2 linked regions of the Stegostoma tigrinum genome follow. The protein of the gene in region 2 interacts with the protein of the main gene of each other region in a pairwise test. Links are inferred from orthologs where the notes say so. Each region holds a gene or a part of one and is shown on either strand. Other genes may lie near its edges.

Evidence for each region. The genes of interacting proteins can lie anywhere in the genome.
Region 1: the proteins of gad2 (region 2) and lipid droplet assembly factor 1-like interact in binary tests that used the Homo sapiens proteins (3 or more experiments, as listed by UniProt). The two-hybrid records come from large-scale screens. The link is inferred for Stegostoma tigrinum from reciprocal best matches to the Homo sapiens genes GAD2 and LDAF1.

Annotation. Positions count from the first base shown.
Region 1 is NC_081376.1:49,103,065-49,111,043, forward strand, and holds the start of lipid droplet assembly factor 1-like, read right to left. Parts: upstream 3,013-7,979; 5' UTR 2,890-3,012; intron 2,601-2,889; exon of another isoform or gene 1,799-2,600; intron 1-1,798. UniProt on the Homo sapiens protein: Plays an important role in the formation of lipid droplets (LD) which are storage organelles at the center of lipid and energy homeostasis. In association with BSCL2/seipin, defines the sites of LD formation in the endoplasmic reticulum.
Region 2 is NC_081355.1:122,691,379-122,698,386, forward strand, and holds the start of gad2 (glutamate decarboxylase 2), read left to right. Parts: upstream 1-3,929; 5' UTR 3,930-4,757; coding exon 4,758-4,827; intron 4,828-5,837; coding exon 5,838-5,897; intron 5,898-7,008. Other genes in the region: myo3a (myosin-IIIa), read left to right, coding at 1,170-1,275. UniProt on the Homo sapiens protein: Catalyzes the production of GABA.

The sequences.
Region 1 (7,979 bases), on a different chromosome or scaffold from region 2:
GCACCCCCAGCATGCAAAGGTATGACATCTTTTTCACCTTAAGACTGCAATTGTTCCAATTTTCTGACCTGAAATGTGAACTTTACAAAAAAATCCTGATTTCTTGTAATATATTTTCAACAGATACCAACTACTTCCTGTGAGCAATACTGGTTGCTATGCATTACTATAAAATCTGGAAAATTACCGAACTCAAGTCATTGTTTCGAATTAGCTGTCAGAAAGGCTTAATTATTTAGCCTGCCCTGGTTCTGCCTTTGTATGTGATAAGATTTTCTATTTCAGTACAGCAGAGATGATATATGTGTGTGGGATGTTGGGGAGGGTGAGGGCAGAGATTTGTGAAAACTATTTATAATCATGAGGGAGAGCTTGAACATGCCCTGCTGATACAGTGGCAATATTAATGAGAAACTTTTAAATGGAAATAACATCTAAAATGGGTCTTAAAGATTTCAAGTGAGGAAATCTGAATATTTCCTTACACATCCTGTTCCAATACTGCAAGATTGTCCAGGAAAAGGAAACAAATTGGTTTGTGCGCATATCCACCCCAACCAGAGGGTACCAGAATGCATATGTACCAATAAGGAATAAAAGTAGGCTATTTATCGAGTCATAGTATCATGCAGCATCGAAACAGACCCTTCGGTCCAGCTGGTCCACGCCAACTAGCTCTCCCAAACTAAACTACTCAAATTTGCCTGCATTTGGCTCACAATCCTCTAAACCCTTCTTATTCATGTGCCCGTCCAAATGTCTTTTAAATGTTGTAACTGTACCTGAATCTACCTCTTCCTCTGGCAGATCATTCCCACTGTGTGAAAAAATTGCCTTTCAGGTCCTTTTAAATAATTCCTCTCTCACCGAAGGGTCCCAACCTGAAATGCCAGCTTTCCTGTTCCTCTCATGCTGCCTGGCCTGCTGCGTTCCTCCAGCTCTACGCTGTTTTATCTCTGATTCCAGTGTCTGCAGTTCTTGCTATCTTAAAAATATGCCTTCTAGTTTTGAACACCCCTACCATAAAGAAAAGACCTTTGCTATTCACCTTATCTATGACCCTCATGATTTTATAAACCTCTATATGGTCACTCCTTAGCTTCCTATGATCCAATGTGAAAGTCCCAGCTTATTCAACCTATCCTTATAACTCAAATCCTCCAGTCTTAGTAACATACTTGTAAGTTTGTTTTTGTATCCTTTTCCAATGTAATAATATCCTTCTTATTAGCAGGGCTACCAGAATCGTACGTAGTACTCCAAAAGTGGCCTCACCAATGTCCTGTACAACCATAACATGATGTCCCAATTTCTATACTCAATACTCTGACCAATGAAGGCAAGCGTCCCAAATAACTTCTTCACCAACCTGTCTAAATGTCACACCCCTTTCAAGGAGCTATGTACTTGAACCTGTAAGCCTTTCCAGTGTTCGACAACACTCTCCAGGCCCTACCATTAACTTGGCCCTTTCAGCCTGCTCCACCATTCCATAAGATTAAGGCTGATCTGATTTTAACCTCAACTCCAGATTCTTGCAGACCCCGATAATCTTTCATTCCCTTGGTCATCAAGTATCCAGCTACCGCCTCCTCAAACAACATGTAAAGATTCTGGGATAACAAAACGTGAGGCTGGATGAACACAGCAGGCCAAGCAGCATCTCAGGAGCACAAAAGCAGACGTTTCGGGCCTAGACCCTTCATCAGAAACTCCTTTTGGATAAAAGTAATTTCAGAGACTCTCACTCATTTCACCTCCACCAACCCCCCCCCCCCCCCAACCCCGTCCATTTTAAATGAGTGATCTGTTATTTTTAAACCGTGACCCCTAGTTCTAGATTCTCCCACAAGAAGAAATCGTCCACCAGGTCAAGTTCTCTCAGGATCTTACATCTTAGAAATCATCTTTGACTCTTCTAAACTCCAAGGCCTTGTTGTTTCCGTCAACTCCCATTGGTCCGCTGCAGATTTTAAACAGGAAATCCCTGGATCCCCGGACAATTTGTCATCAATCTCCCCGAGACCAAGACATCTCCTCGGGAGCTGGATGCATCCTCCACGCCGGGGCCCCGCATAGCAACTGGAGGAGGGGCGCGTAGCAACGGGAGGAAGGGGCCTCGCTTAGCAACGGGAGGTAAACCCCTTCCTCCCTTAGCAACCGGCTCCGGGACCGGACGATGGCGGTGGTCGGTGCCGGGAACAGACAGCGCTGAAGCCCGAAGGAGTCACTCAGATCCTTGGCCTCATAACGTCGACATTTAACCCACCTTCTTCCTCCTTCGGGGTCGCTGAGGCCTAGCTATTCCCCATCCCCACCTCCCGGCCGCCTCGAGCTGTGGTCTGTGGGGGGAGGAACAGTCCGCTCTGAGTCCCCTCCGCGTATTTCACTTTGACACAAACCGACGGAGAAACCAAAAATAAAAATGCATCCCGAGCCCCGGAAGCTGAGGTGTCGATGTTCCGGATTCCGAGGGCCGGACGAATGTGTTCTGCTGTTTAAGAGAGCTCGCAGTACAGCAGGGTAATGTCAGAAATATTGTTAATATATTTTCCATTCTGTTTGATCCTTGATGTGCTGTGTCCTTCTTTAAAATGGAGGAGACACTTTTTCTCTGATGACACTGCGGCTCAAGGCATTATTTGCTTAGGGAATTCTCATTTTCTTCATTCTCCCCTCATTTTCCTCTCACTCATTCTCCCCCTACCACCCATTTGAGAATTCTACTCCCATTTGGTTTAACTTCCTCGCACTGTCGCTCCCATTTCTCCCAATTTTCTCTTTGTACATTAGAATTCTCACCCATTTCCCCTATTTTCATTCCATTTGCGAATTAATTTCTATTTATTTCCAATTTCCTCTCACTTATGGATTTCTACTTCGCATTACCTCCAAACACTGAGGGAGACGGCAACATTGTCTGTCGGCTGCCATGTGGCCCCAAGGTGAACTTGGCAACAGACACCGAATCCAGTGATCCACACAGAGGTAACAAGAACCTGCACCACAGGATTGGTCTTAAGCTGGCAGCAAAAGTGCACCATCTGAAATTACCCCAGGCCTAATCGTTTTGTTACATGTTCATGATCCTGTGCCGATGGAAAATATTTGATTACAGCCTCATAAAATCTGTCCCCAATGGAAGATGATTGAAACTAACGTATAAAGACAAAGTCTTTGAAAAATTTGCATTTATACAACATCTTATCACATTTATCAAGATACGTTTTGAAGCACTTCACACATAGTAAATTACTTCAAGTAAAATAAAAGTTTGCAATCCAGACACTTAGACAAGTACTGCCACTGTTTTTCTTTGATTAAAGCTGTACAACTTTTAAAAGTTTGTTTTCTGGGAGTCAATTGTGAAAAAATAGTTCCTTGTTCCAGAGATTGCTCTCTCGCCACCCCCTTTGAATAATGGGCACTGTTCTCTTGTTCTTTCTTGGCCTGAAACTAAAAGAAACATAGCCCTATTAGATAGCAAGAACTGCAGATGTTGGAGTCAGAGATAACAAAGTGTGGAGCTGGAGGAACAGGAAAGCTGACATTTTGGTTCGGGACCCTTCTGAAGAAGGGTGCCAACCCGAAACGTCAGTTTTCCTGCTCCTCTGATGCTGCCTAGCCTGCTGTGTTCCTCCAGCTCCATGCTTGGTTATCTATAGCCCTATTAGATATTGGAATTACCATGAGTCATTACTTTGCATCTTTAGTCACCGCATGACAGACATTGCTGCAATGCAGCTGACCTGTGCTACATATCGGGCACCTACTAACACATCCCTTATGGAGCCATGTACACCTGTCCCTAACAGCAACAGAACGGGAGGAAAGATCCACAATTGTCATGTTGCATTTTATCTACTTGATTGGAGATTGAAATTGCATTTTCTCAATTTTCATGTACTCCCACCACACTTAACCTCTCTGTTCAGAAATAATCAGAAGTGCTTTAAACCGAATAAGAATATTACTACAGCAAATTGGGTCTGTTTCACTATTAGGCAAAACTGACTTGGTGGTGGTATTCTCTTCTCTGAGGCAAAAGGTTCAAATTCAACTCAAAACACTTGAAAGACTAATCTATGCTGACACATCAATGTACTACTGAGAGTATGTTGTGCAATTGAAGATTCTATCTTTTGAAAAATACTGAGGCACCCTCTGTCCATCTCAGGTGGACTTTAGATTTCTCAGGGAAAAGACAAGATCATAATAGTGTCCTAGCCAATATATATTCCTCCACCAGCATCTGAAATTAATAATTGTACTTTTTTTCCTTGCTATTAGTGGAATATTTCTGTGCACAAATCAGCTGCCATGTTTCCCCATGTTGCTGTATTGACTAACTTCAAAAGTACTTAATTGGCGGTAAAACACTTACTGCATCCTAGGATTGTGCAAGATGCTATATTATTGCAAGTTTTTCGAATTGAATTTGTGGATTTTTTTTGTTGCGTCAGGGGAAAAGAAAGCTGATTTGAAAACACTTAATACTACTGTTTGGAATCAATAAACTAAATAATTTCTAAAATTATTGAATCATAATCAAATATGTGATTATATACTTAGAAATTCTTTGGAGCTAGGATTCATTCTGCCTGAGTCCAGTGAAAGACATTTACTATACTCTTGCAAAAACAACTTGAGCATGTGTTTTAATGAAGAATGACTCCAATGAAAAGAGAGAGAACTATCAAAGAGAAAGCATTCTAAACTCACAACCCACAACAAATGTAATTAGTACTCCATTGCCTTCAATTGCAATGAAACAATACTACAAAGGAATATTATGAACTGTTAGGTACAGTTTTTACCACAACCTAATTAATATCAGTATGTTTCACTGTAAACATGGTTAGAGCATGCACATTTTTTATCTCACTCATGTGTTGCATGGACCTTAGCCTGTGGGTTGTAAATTGTATACTGCAGATCATAATGATTTTATTGCAAATAATTAAATTATGGCTGTTGTGCACAACCAAATATCCATTTGAAAGATATGTATAATACAGGTGTAATTCGTGTTGCTGTAGTTTGATTTTGGGTTCACCAATGCACAAAGTGTGCAATGGGGCTTAACACCACACAGACCAGCACCATGTCAAATGACAGCTTAAAATATAACAGTTCACTAATGGAAAGGGAAGGAAACTGCCATCCTCACCTCATCTGGCCTACATGTGACTCCTGACCCACAGCCATGTGGTTGAGTCTGAACTGCCCTCTGGGTAATTAGGGATAGGCAATAAATACTGCCTAGCCAGCGATGCTGCCATCCCAGTAATGAATTTTTAAAAAGTGGCTTGAGGAAACTGGCATGCAGCATTTCTGCTAAATAACTGCAGCATTCTCAGTAGCTAAAATCACAGTGCGGGGATTTATAAGAGTATTAGACTCATAACCAGAATTCTAACTGTTGAAATTGATTTTATTGCAAATTTGTCTAAGCAGTGTTGAAAAGTGTGGATGCTTACAAATAAAGCATAGTATGGGAAAGGTGCCAGTGTAGTTGGACTCAAGGAAAATTATGTCATGTTTTATAAAATGGGCTAACTACTAGGAAAATTGTGTCATGTTTTATAAAATGGTCTAACTAGCAGTAAAAAGCCAAGACCTTGAGGCTGGCTGTAAGAATTGCTTGTGTATGTAAAAACTCATGATTGCAATGTCAAGGTCCCTCTAAGAAATAGTATCTTGTAGCTTTGAGGTAAAAGACAGTCATACACAGTTGATGTGACAACATTATGTAATGTGTGATACCATACCATTATGTGTCAGGAAAGTGGGCCCTCACATAGGACTGAAGGTAACTGAGATGGGGAAGGGATTGATTGGATAAATGCCAAAGTAAAGGGGATCCTGCCTTTGTTTCTATGAAGCAGAGAAAACTAGAAAATAAAGAGAGAGACAAGGGAGAGGAAAAAAGTGGGAAACATAAGAAAAAGTTAAAGACTGGAAGTTGAATGAAGTGAAGTAATTGTGTATTTCTCATTCAGTACATGAATTTTGAATTATTGCTGTAGCCTAAGTGAAAACTAATAATCTTTGTTCTGATTTTATCTAATTTCCAGAATGATTGTTTTCAGAACTTAAACTTTTCAGGTCCACAACTTCCCCTCTCCAACTGAAAATAGGGATTGAATAAAGGCCCAGAATTGGAGTACAGATATATCTTGGGAGGGTTGTAGTGCTGGAAGAGATTATGGTGGACCAAGGTTTAGAAGGATTTGTGAAATTGAAAATTGTGAATTCAAGGCATTGCTGGACAGTAGGCGTTGTAGATTAGGGAGCTCAATGGTGATCGGTGAACAGGACTTGATGCATCAGGAAATGAACAGCAGAGTTTTGGATGATCTCAAGTTTATGGAGAATAGAACATGGAGGGGTTGACCTGGAGCTTGTTGGAATTACTTAAGTATAGTGGAAACAAAGACATGGATGAGAGTTTCAGCAGCGGATAGGTTGAGGTAGGGTGGACTTAGGGTGACAGTGTGGAGATGTATGTGGTGGTCTTATTGATGGTGTGGAATGTGGCCAGAAATCACAACACATCAGTTTTGTGATTGAATATTCTACCTCAGACAATTATATAGAGCGATAGAATCTCTTGTGAGGAAGTTTGTTACAGGCACTGACAATAATAGGTGTGTTCTTACCAGTATTTTGTTGGGAGGAGATGTCTGCCATCCAATACTGAATATAGGACAGATAGCCCAACCATTCAGAAACAGTGAAGGGATGATGAGGCTGGGTCAAGTGATATTGGCATGCACACGGAAGTAGACCCTTGTTTACTGAAGGACTGCATATCAATGAGAAATGACAGGGGACCAAGCATAGATTTTTCAGAGTCACAAAATGTGATGAGGAAGAAACAGGTGGAGAAACTATTCCAGGTGAATTTCTGGTTATGATTGGATAGGTAAGAACAGATCTTGACTGTTGTCCAGCCTCCCTCAGCTGGACAACAGTGGGGGAAAGTAGTGTAATCGACCACGTCAAAGCTGCAGATGGCTAGAGAAAAACAAGGACCTTTGTCGTGGTAGCATTGGGTGTCGTTTGTAATATCAAAAAGAATTTGGTTTCTGTGACAGTGAATTTTCATTGATTACATTATGTATTTTTCCTTAAAATAACTCACTAATAACTCAGACAACAAGCAAAATGAACGTCATTTACAAAATACCTTGCAAGAACTGTGACAAACACTACATTGGACAAACAGGCAGAAAGCGAGCCACCAGGATGCATGAACATCAACTAGCCACAAAAAGACATGACCCACTATCACTAGTATCCTTACATGCAGATGAGGAAGGACACCACTTTGATGGGGACAACACATCCATCCTAGGACAAGCCAAACAGAGACACGCACAAGAATTCCTAGAAGCATAGCATTCCAACCGGAACTCCATCAACAAACACATTGATTTGGAGCCCATCTACCACCCTCTGAGAAAAACAACAGGAAATGACACCATCAACACAGGAAATGACATCACCAACCCAAGGAAACCTAAACAGATAAATAGAAAGCGGGACATAACACCAGCGCTTCACCCACTGGGTGGCCCACTGATGATGGTAATGAAAGGTCTGAAAACGAACCTTCCAGCTCAGCGAGCAAACTTACATCCAGAACCTCAACCTGAGCTACAAATCTTCTCAAAACTTGCTATAACTAACTAAAGTTCCTTCAACAGCAGCTTCCAAACCCAGCACTTGAGAGACAAGGGCAGGAGATATGCTGGAACACTACCACCTGCAACTTTCCCTCCAAGTTGAAGCTGCACACTGTCCTGACTTGGAAATATATTGCTGTTCCTTCAGTGTCACCGGGTCAAAATCCTGAAACTTCCTCTCTAACAGTGCTGAAAATGTCCCTACACCCAAGGACTGCAGCAGTTCAAGAAGGCACTTTGCCACAACCTTCTACAGTAAATGCTGGCTTAGCCAATGACACTCACCCC
Region 2 (7,008 bases):
ATCCCTAATCAATTTATTCTTTTCTAGATGATTATGAATCCTATCCCTTATAACCTTTTCCAACACTTTACCAACAACTGAGGTAAGGCTCACTGGTCTATAATTACCAGGGTTGTCTCTACCCTGCTTCTTGAACAGGGGAACCACATCTGGCATTATTCCTGTAGACAATGATGAGTTAAAGATCAATGCCAAAGGCTCGGCAATCTCCTCCCTGGCTTCCCAGAAGATCCTAAGATAAATCCCATCCGGCCCATTCAAGTGCTGATCAATCTGCAATACTATCTAGGTTGTTTCTGATATCTGACATTTCAGATAGCTTTTTGTTTGTAGTAGCTCTGTATCTATTGCACCTGAAAGCAAATTCCTAGTGCAATCTTTATTTTCTGTCATTTATTGCTCCAAAATCAGCCTTACTCCTATCTTGTGAACAGATGTTGATGATTTTCCTTCTGTCATTTCTATATGCTGCTACTACTATGTGAGAGTCATGAAACACAGTTAGGAAAACATAGACAAAATGCCAGACCATAAAGTAGCTGACCAAAATTGCTTCTGTTTCCCAATAGGAGGTAGAGAGCAAACATTATCTATCCATGTTTCTAAAAATTGATCAGATTATCTGTTTTCGCTTTTATCTGGATTGTGCTATCAGTATTTCCTTTCATCCTATTTTGTTTGTATCAATAGCTCTGATTCATACATGTGAAAATGTGCTTGCCAACGAGAATTCCCTGTCATAGTCCAGCATCACCAATGTTTGTTTAAATATTTTCTAATCAGCCTATACACCTCTGTAGAAGGTGGGACTTGAGCCTGGGCCTTCAGGCTCACAGGTGGGGACACTGCTGCTGCACCAAAAGAGACCCCTTCTACTCCCTGCCTCCCTCTCCCAATTTCAATTCATATCAACTTTAACTCTGATAGATGTTTCTCAATTTATTTTCAAACAATAACAGACATGATATCTAATCCTGGTCTAGCTTCATTCCATTTTCTTTCCAGAATTTTTCATTGATTGATGTTTCTTAATGTCTACCATCCAGTTAAAAAATGGTATTATTATGACTGAGTTATACATAAGCATATAGTTGATTAAACATTTCCAATCATGTGCATTCTTGCTTGTGGTAAATATACTGCTAATTATTGCATTTTATTTCAATCAGCTCATCAGCTCCAAAAGAAGGCTGTCAAGATGAAGATAACCCATATGACTATAGGAAATTGCTACGAAAAACGTCCCAAAGGAATCGTCTTATTGAGCAGTGTTAACTTTTAACCTTGCGGTTTTTTAAATTATGTACTGTTTACATACATTTCTGGAACTCTCCTATAAGCTCACTATTGTACATATGTTCATACTGTGCAGTAACAGCAATAACACTTGTGTTAGTAGGTTACTTGAGTGTAATCTAGGAGTAAAATGTTTTGTGTTGAATCATTATCTGAAACTTTCCTTTGAGCATATTTAATGTTCTTTGTGAAAACATAAAGCCAAATATTAATTTTTCCATATGGAGAAGTGAGTGAAATCAGTTGACTCATGTTATAGTAATTTAAATAGAAAAATGTTTCAAATGCTCAGGAAATAAACTAAATTGTAAAATTTTAACCCAAAATGCATCAATCTCATATTGTGCCTTACTAAATTAGAGCCTCTAATATAAAGTAAAATATTATGGAACCTGGAAATTAGAATTAAATCAGAAGAACACCCAGCATGTCAGGCGAAGAGAGAGACAGGATCTCTGTGCAGAACCCACCATCAAAGACAAATGCACTATCCAATCAACATTATCAGTTCATCCTGCTAATCTAGTAAATTTCCCTATGAAGCCAGTTAAGAAATTGCCTTTGAAAGCCCCATTATATTAAGAAAAGAGCTATTCAAAGAGCTAAAGTCTTTAGGTGGCCAGCAACCTGACTGGGCAAGATGAGAACTGTCACTCTCGGCTGTGAGCTGTGATGGTATCTCAAGATGGAGGTGCCTTCTGAGGAAACCAGTTCATATATAGCCAGGCTGTTGGACCATCTGTGGGAAGGTTAGAGGAAGTGGACAATTAGAAGTGGCTTCACCGGACTGTCTACTCCAATCTCCTTTAATCTCAGTGGGGGCTCATCGGCCATTAGTAAATTCTGGCAGTGCTACAAAATTGCCTGTAAGTCAACGCCTGGCTACTGCTGATCAGTTCTCTGTTTCTGCCAGGCAAATCATTGATGCTGGACACACCTCCCTGTGTACAGATTACTCAGACATGGGAATATATCAGGGAACCAATCGAACATGGAACTCTGGGCCCATTTTCACATTTTTCTTAAGTTTCTGCTCAACCATTCAGATTGATCACTTTCCTCAGATCTGTTCCAAATTTTCATCACCTTGAAAGGCAAATGGCCAAGTCATTGCCTTTTCTCAGCTATCTGAATGAGAGTGCAAAATGGAATAAAATGCAACAATCATATTTTAATTACTTTGAGAAGTTCATCAGTGTTTAATTTTCTGGGCTATTTCCTAACACTTTTGAATTTTAACTTCATGAATAGTTTTGACCAGTGATTTTTTTACACATTATTTGAAAAGGAAATTGGAAAAGAGAGGAGCCTGGGAGTAGGATAGTATGTGCATTGACTGCTGAATGGACACAGGCTAATGAAACTGAATGAGATCACAATTTGTGGTGATTTTCCTGATCTTGTCTTGATTACAGTGGAGAGTGGAAGAAGTGGAGAAGTTGACTGCCACCAACTTAATGGGCAGGGAGGAGTTGGTATTAACAGACCTGAAGACTCCATCCTGCCATTAAAAAAAGTGCAAGGGCAGGAAAACATTGTCCCCAATGAGTCATCTAGAGAAATTTACCCTGAATGCTCCTCTGATATTTCATTAATCTGTCCATAGTGAATTGCCCCCTGTCAGTGTAGTTTGTCAAGTTTTGAGCTGCCGGCTCTGGGTGCCTCCCACCATCGTCCATCAGAAAGTGTGTTCATTGGTGGCTGGTGAGGAGCTGGCCCCAGAAGAACAATTTAGTCCATCCCACTGCCAGCATTGGAAAGAAGGCCAGAAGTGTTCCTGTACTCCGCAACCCTCAGGGCTCAGAAGTCCCGAGTAAAACAGAGTCTTAAGGTCGATGAGCTTTCTCTGCATTTTCCTGTCATTTGCCACCTGTAAAATGCTTTGTGAATTCCAAGCGACTTCATTTGTGGTGTGTGCATGAAGGAATTTCGTGTTTTAAAAACATTCAAGTCACGAACTGCAGAGCTAACAATAGCATTTGAACGAGATGGGTACTCAAGAAGCCAGCTGTTTGTTCAATTTAAACATTTGCTTTAGCCTTTTTACACTGGTATATATAAACACTGGTTCTTCCCAAAATGCATCAATATTGCTTACGGTTGTACATGAAAACACTGCATAAATGTCTTGTGACTGTGCCGGCTCACCCAGCACAAGAAATTCGATTTGAAAAATGTTAAACTTGTTTTTAATCGGAGCAGGAATTTTTCGGTGCACCTGAATAGGAAATAAGTACGAAGTGTCGCACTACCGGCCCTTTTCCTTGAAAGGAAACGCAGATCGTAAAAATTGGTAAAGTCACGTATCTATTGTTATCTTTGTCTGATGCACAATGCCAGATCACGAACAGGGAGTTCACATTGAGATTTCCCATACAGGCTGTAATTACAATGACAAAGCATGTCGCCCACTTGCAGCAAGCGCCGTGTGGAAAGCGCTGCTTGTCACTGGAGGCTGGAGTGCATGGGGTCTTTGTCTGTAGCTGTCTACTCTCTCGCTCTCTCTCTCTCTGGCTGTGGCAGCTGTGACTGACGTGAGCTTGCACAGCAGGAGACAGAGGCGGGGAGGGAGGGAGTGAGGTCTCGCCACGCTGTGGGGTGGGGGGTGGGGGCGGAATGCCAGTGTTGTCATCCACGACGGACTCGTGACTCCTGCCCGCATCCCATGCTCCGGCGACCACGTCTCTTCATACTGACTGAAAGAGTGACTCATTCAGATCCACAGCCCACCCTTCCCCGGATTACGTCAAAACATTGAAAAGACCCCCTCCCCAACTCCTACCCCCTTCCACCAAAACCTTTCCAGAGAAAGAAAGTTTGTGTTTCAGCTCTGAATATATTTCTGAAGCAGTCTACCGTACCGTCCCGCCTTTCTCTACCTCTGCCCTTTTGCGCGCCAAAGTGACGCAGATGCCCAAAGCGCCAGATTTCGATGCAAAGTAGCTCAGATCGAGATTGATTAGCGCTTTGGGAAAGGAAAAGGAAACCCTGGAGCCTTTTCCCAAGGAATATCTGACGGAGTGTGAGCAAGTCTCAACCAGTGAGCTCCCTTCCTCCTCCTCCCCTTCCCCCCTCCCCCAGTCTTGTTAGCTGGTGGCTGGGAGAAGCAGCACTGTCCCGCGCTGTGTGACAAGCATCACCAGGGTGTAAGGCAGTTTCCTCCTTACAGGAGCTTGTAAGAGAGGGAGAGGTTCAGCACTACGTCCCGGACAGCTCCCTGCAAACAGGGGCTCGTGTGCAAGAGCGAGAGATTCAGCACCACATCCCGGACAGCTCCCTACAGACAGGTGCTGGTGTGAGCCGGACAGGTTCAGCGCTAGGTCTGGGACAACTCCGTTCCGACAGGTTCTGCACCAGGTCCAGGATTGCTCCCTCCTGCTTGGACGTGGCTTTGAGCTCCGGATGATAAGCGCTACCACGTCTCCAGCAGCTCCAACCTCTCGAATCAACCCAGCGTGGAAATGGCATCTCTCGGGTTCTTCTCGAACGAGTCGGCACAGCGAACCAGTGCCGGAGACAATTCGACTGCAGGTAAATGAAAGGCAACACGTGTAGGAAGATATTAAAAGAGGCGGGGAGGCAGAGAAGGGAGGGGAGGGGGATGAGTTCAAGGAATGGAAAACCTCAAAGCACCGATCGGTTTGAAAACTGTTGTCCCCTGGATGACAGGACAAAGTAGACATTCTCATGAGAACTGGATTTCGAAGTAATAAAATGCACGTTGAATTTTATTGAGCAGTTTTCTCTCAAATGGATTTGCTCTATGTTTACAGTTCAGTGACAGCAAACTTAATGGGTTTGGATTGTTTGGCGAATAAAGCTAGTTGTTTACTTTTTGGGTGAAATGACCCAAACGATACGAAAGAAATCGACAGAATCTAAAAGTAATAATTTACTTCTGCGATAGGAAGCTTATTTTGATTAAAACAGGTTTTGTTTTGATTTTGTATACATTTCTTCAAATTGGCATACTGGATATTTGTCACCTCCAGCTAAAACCTTCAAGGCAAAATTATCTCAGCTTTTATAAAAATGACAAATTTCAGAAGCTTTACTGAACTGTTGACAAATAATGTCTTAAAGAAGCTTGTCTATTGCAATCATACAAGTCCAGGGCTGTGTAGTAGAGGGAAACTGAACAAAATGATCTGATTTAGACACTCAGAACTTTAAAAACGTGTGGGAGACATTGCTTTGATTTATAGTTTTTATGTGACTATTTTTTGAAGGGTGCTACAGCTTTGGTCCATCATATGTGCACGTCTAACACCCTTAAACACCATTGATGTCGCCGTCTTATTGCACACTCCATGAATTCCCGCTGTTGTTCACAGACAGGTGTCAATACACGTTCTTTTTTTCCACAGGAATATCCACAACAATATTGTATCTTGTGTACAAGTTGCCCCATCACATTAGCTTTTCTATGACTGATTCAGACTAAACTGAAGTTACATATTTTCTTCTCGAAATTGAAGCAAAAGGTTGACTCAAAATTAAAAGTAGAACTTAATACAATTCTAATACTTTGTGTTTCACAGCCCCAGCCTGGTGTCAGATAGCTCAAAAGTTCACTGGCGGCATCGGAACAAAGCTCTGTGGTAAGCGTGGTTACATTTCTCATCGGTTTGCACGAAGTTAGGGTCAACTTTACCACATAAAAACGCGAATGTGGCAGAAATATTGAATCGTTAGAGTTGCGAGGGCTGCCAGTCTGATTGAGTGCTTATAACGTATGGTTGAAGTGGCCTAATGGACTGAGCTCTCCTGCCCTCTCCACCCACATATTTAACTACTCACTGATTTCAAAGTATCAGGCAATCTGTCCATTAGTTTCTCCTGGCTCAAAGCAAAGCTGTCAGTGCCAAAAATAAAAGATCAATCCGTGTATTTGAGAGTTATTTGTTTAACTTTGCCTTTAGATGTACACAGAGATTAATTTCTCATGTAGCTTCGATGTTGCATTGCCTTTTAAAGACAGAACGGACTCTGAGCACACTGATTACGGCGAATTGGTTGGTTTTACGTTACAGATGGTGAATCCAGGGAGCTGCTTCTTCATGAAATGACAAAAGACGTGATGAAACATAATATACCAAAAACTGGCTTCCGGGCAACAGAAAAGACACCTCCAAAACACAAAATATCATTTTCAATGCAAACATTCAAACCGACTGAGTAGTTGTGCAACAGAATTAACTTGATAATACTTGCAGATATCTGTCTTTATTCTTGAAAAGCATATTTTTAAATTTTCTATTAATTTCCAAAAGTTGTTGCTTGTGAAATGTTATGCACCATTCTATTAAGAACTGAACGCAATTCAAAGGAATCATTGTCAAAGTTTAATGTCCAAAACTAAACAAAAAGAAATCAAGAACTTCAAAATGTTTGAGCCCTGTATTTATATTTAGCTTCTTTCGATCATAAAGCAGAGGTGGAAAATTTGCTGTACTGCAGCAATTATCTAATTTTATAGAAGGAATTATAATGCATCACTGTACTAAATACTACACGTAAATTTGTCATCAGCCACCTCATGTTTACAGAATTGTAGAAGTGATCTGGTGCAAAAGGAGGCTATTTAACCCATCATGTACATGCTGGCTTTTTAACTGAGCATCATTATCTAATGCCAACCTCCTGCTTTTTCCCTGTGTCCTTGTATATTATTTCTACCTAAACAGTTGTCCAATGCTTTCTTAAATATTT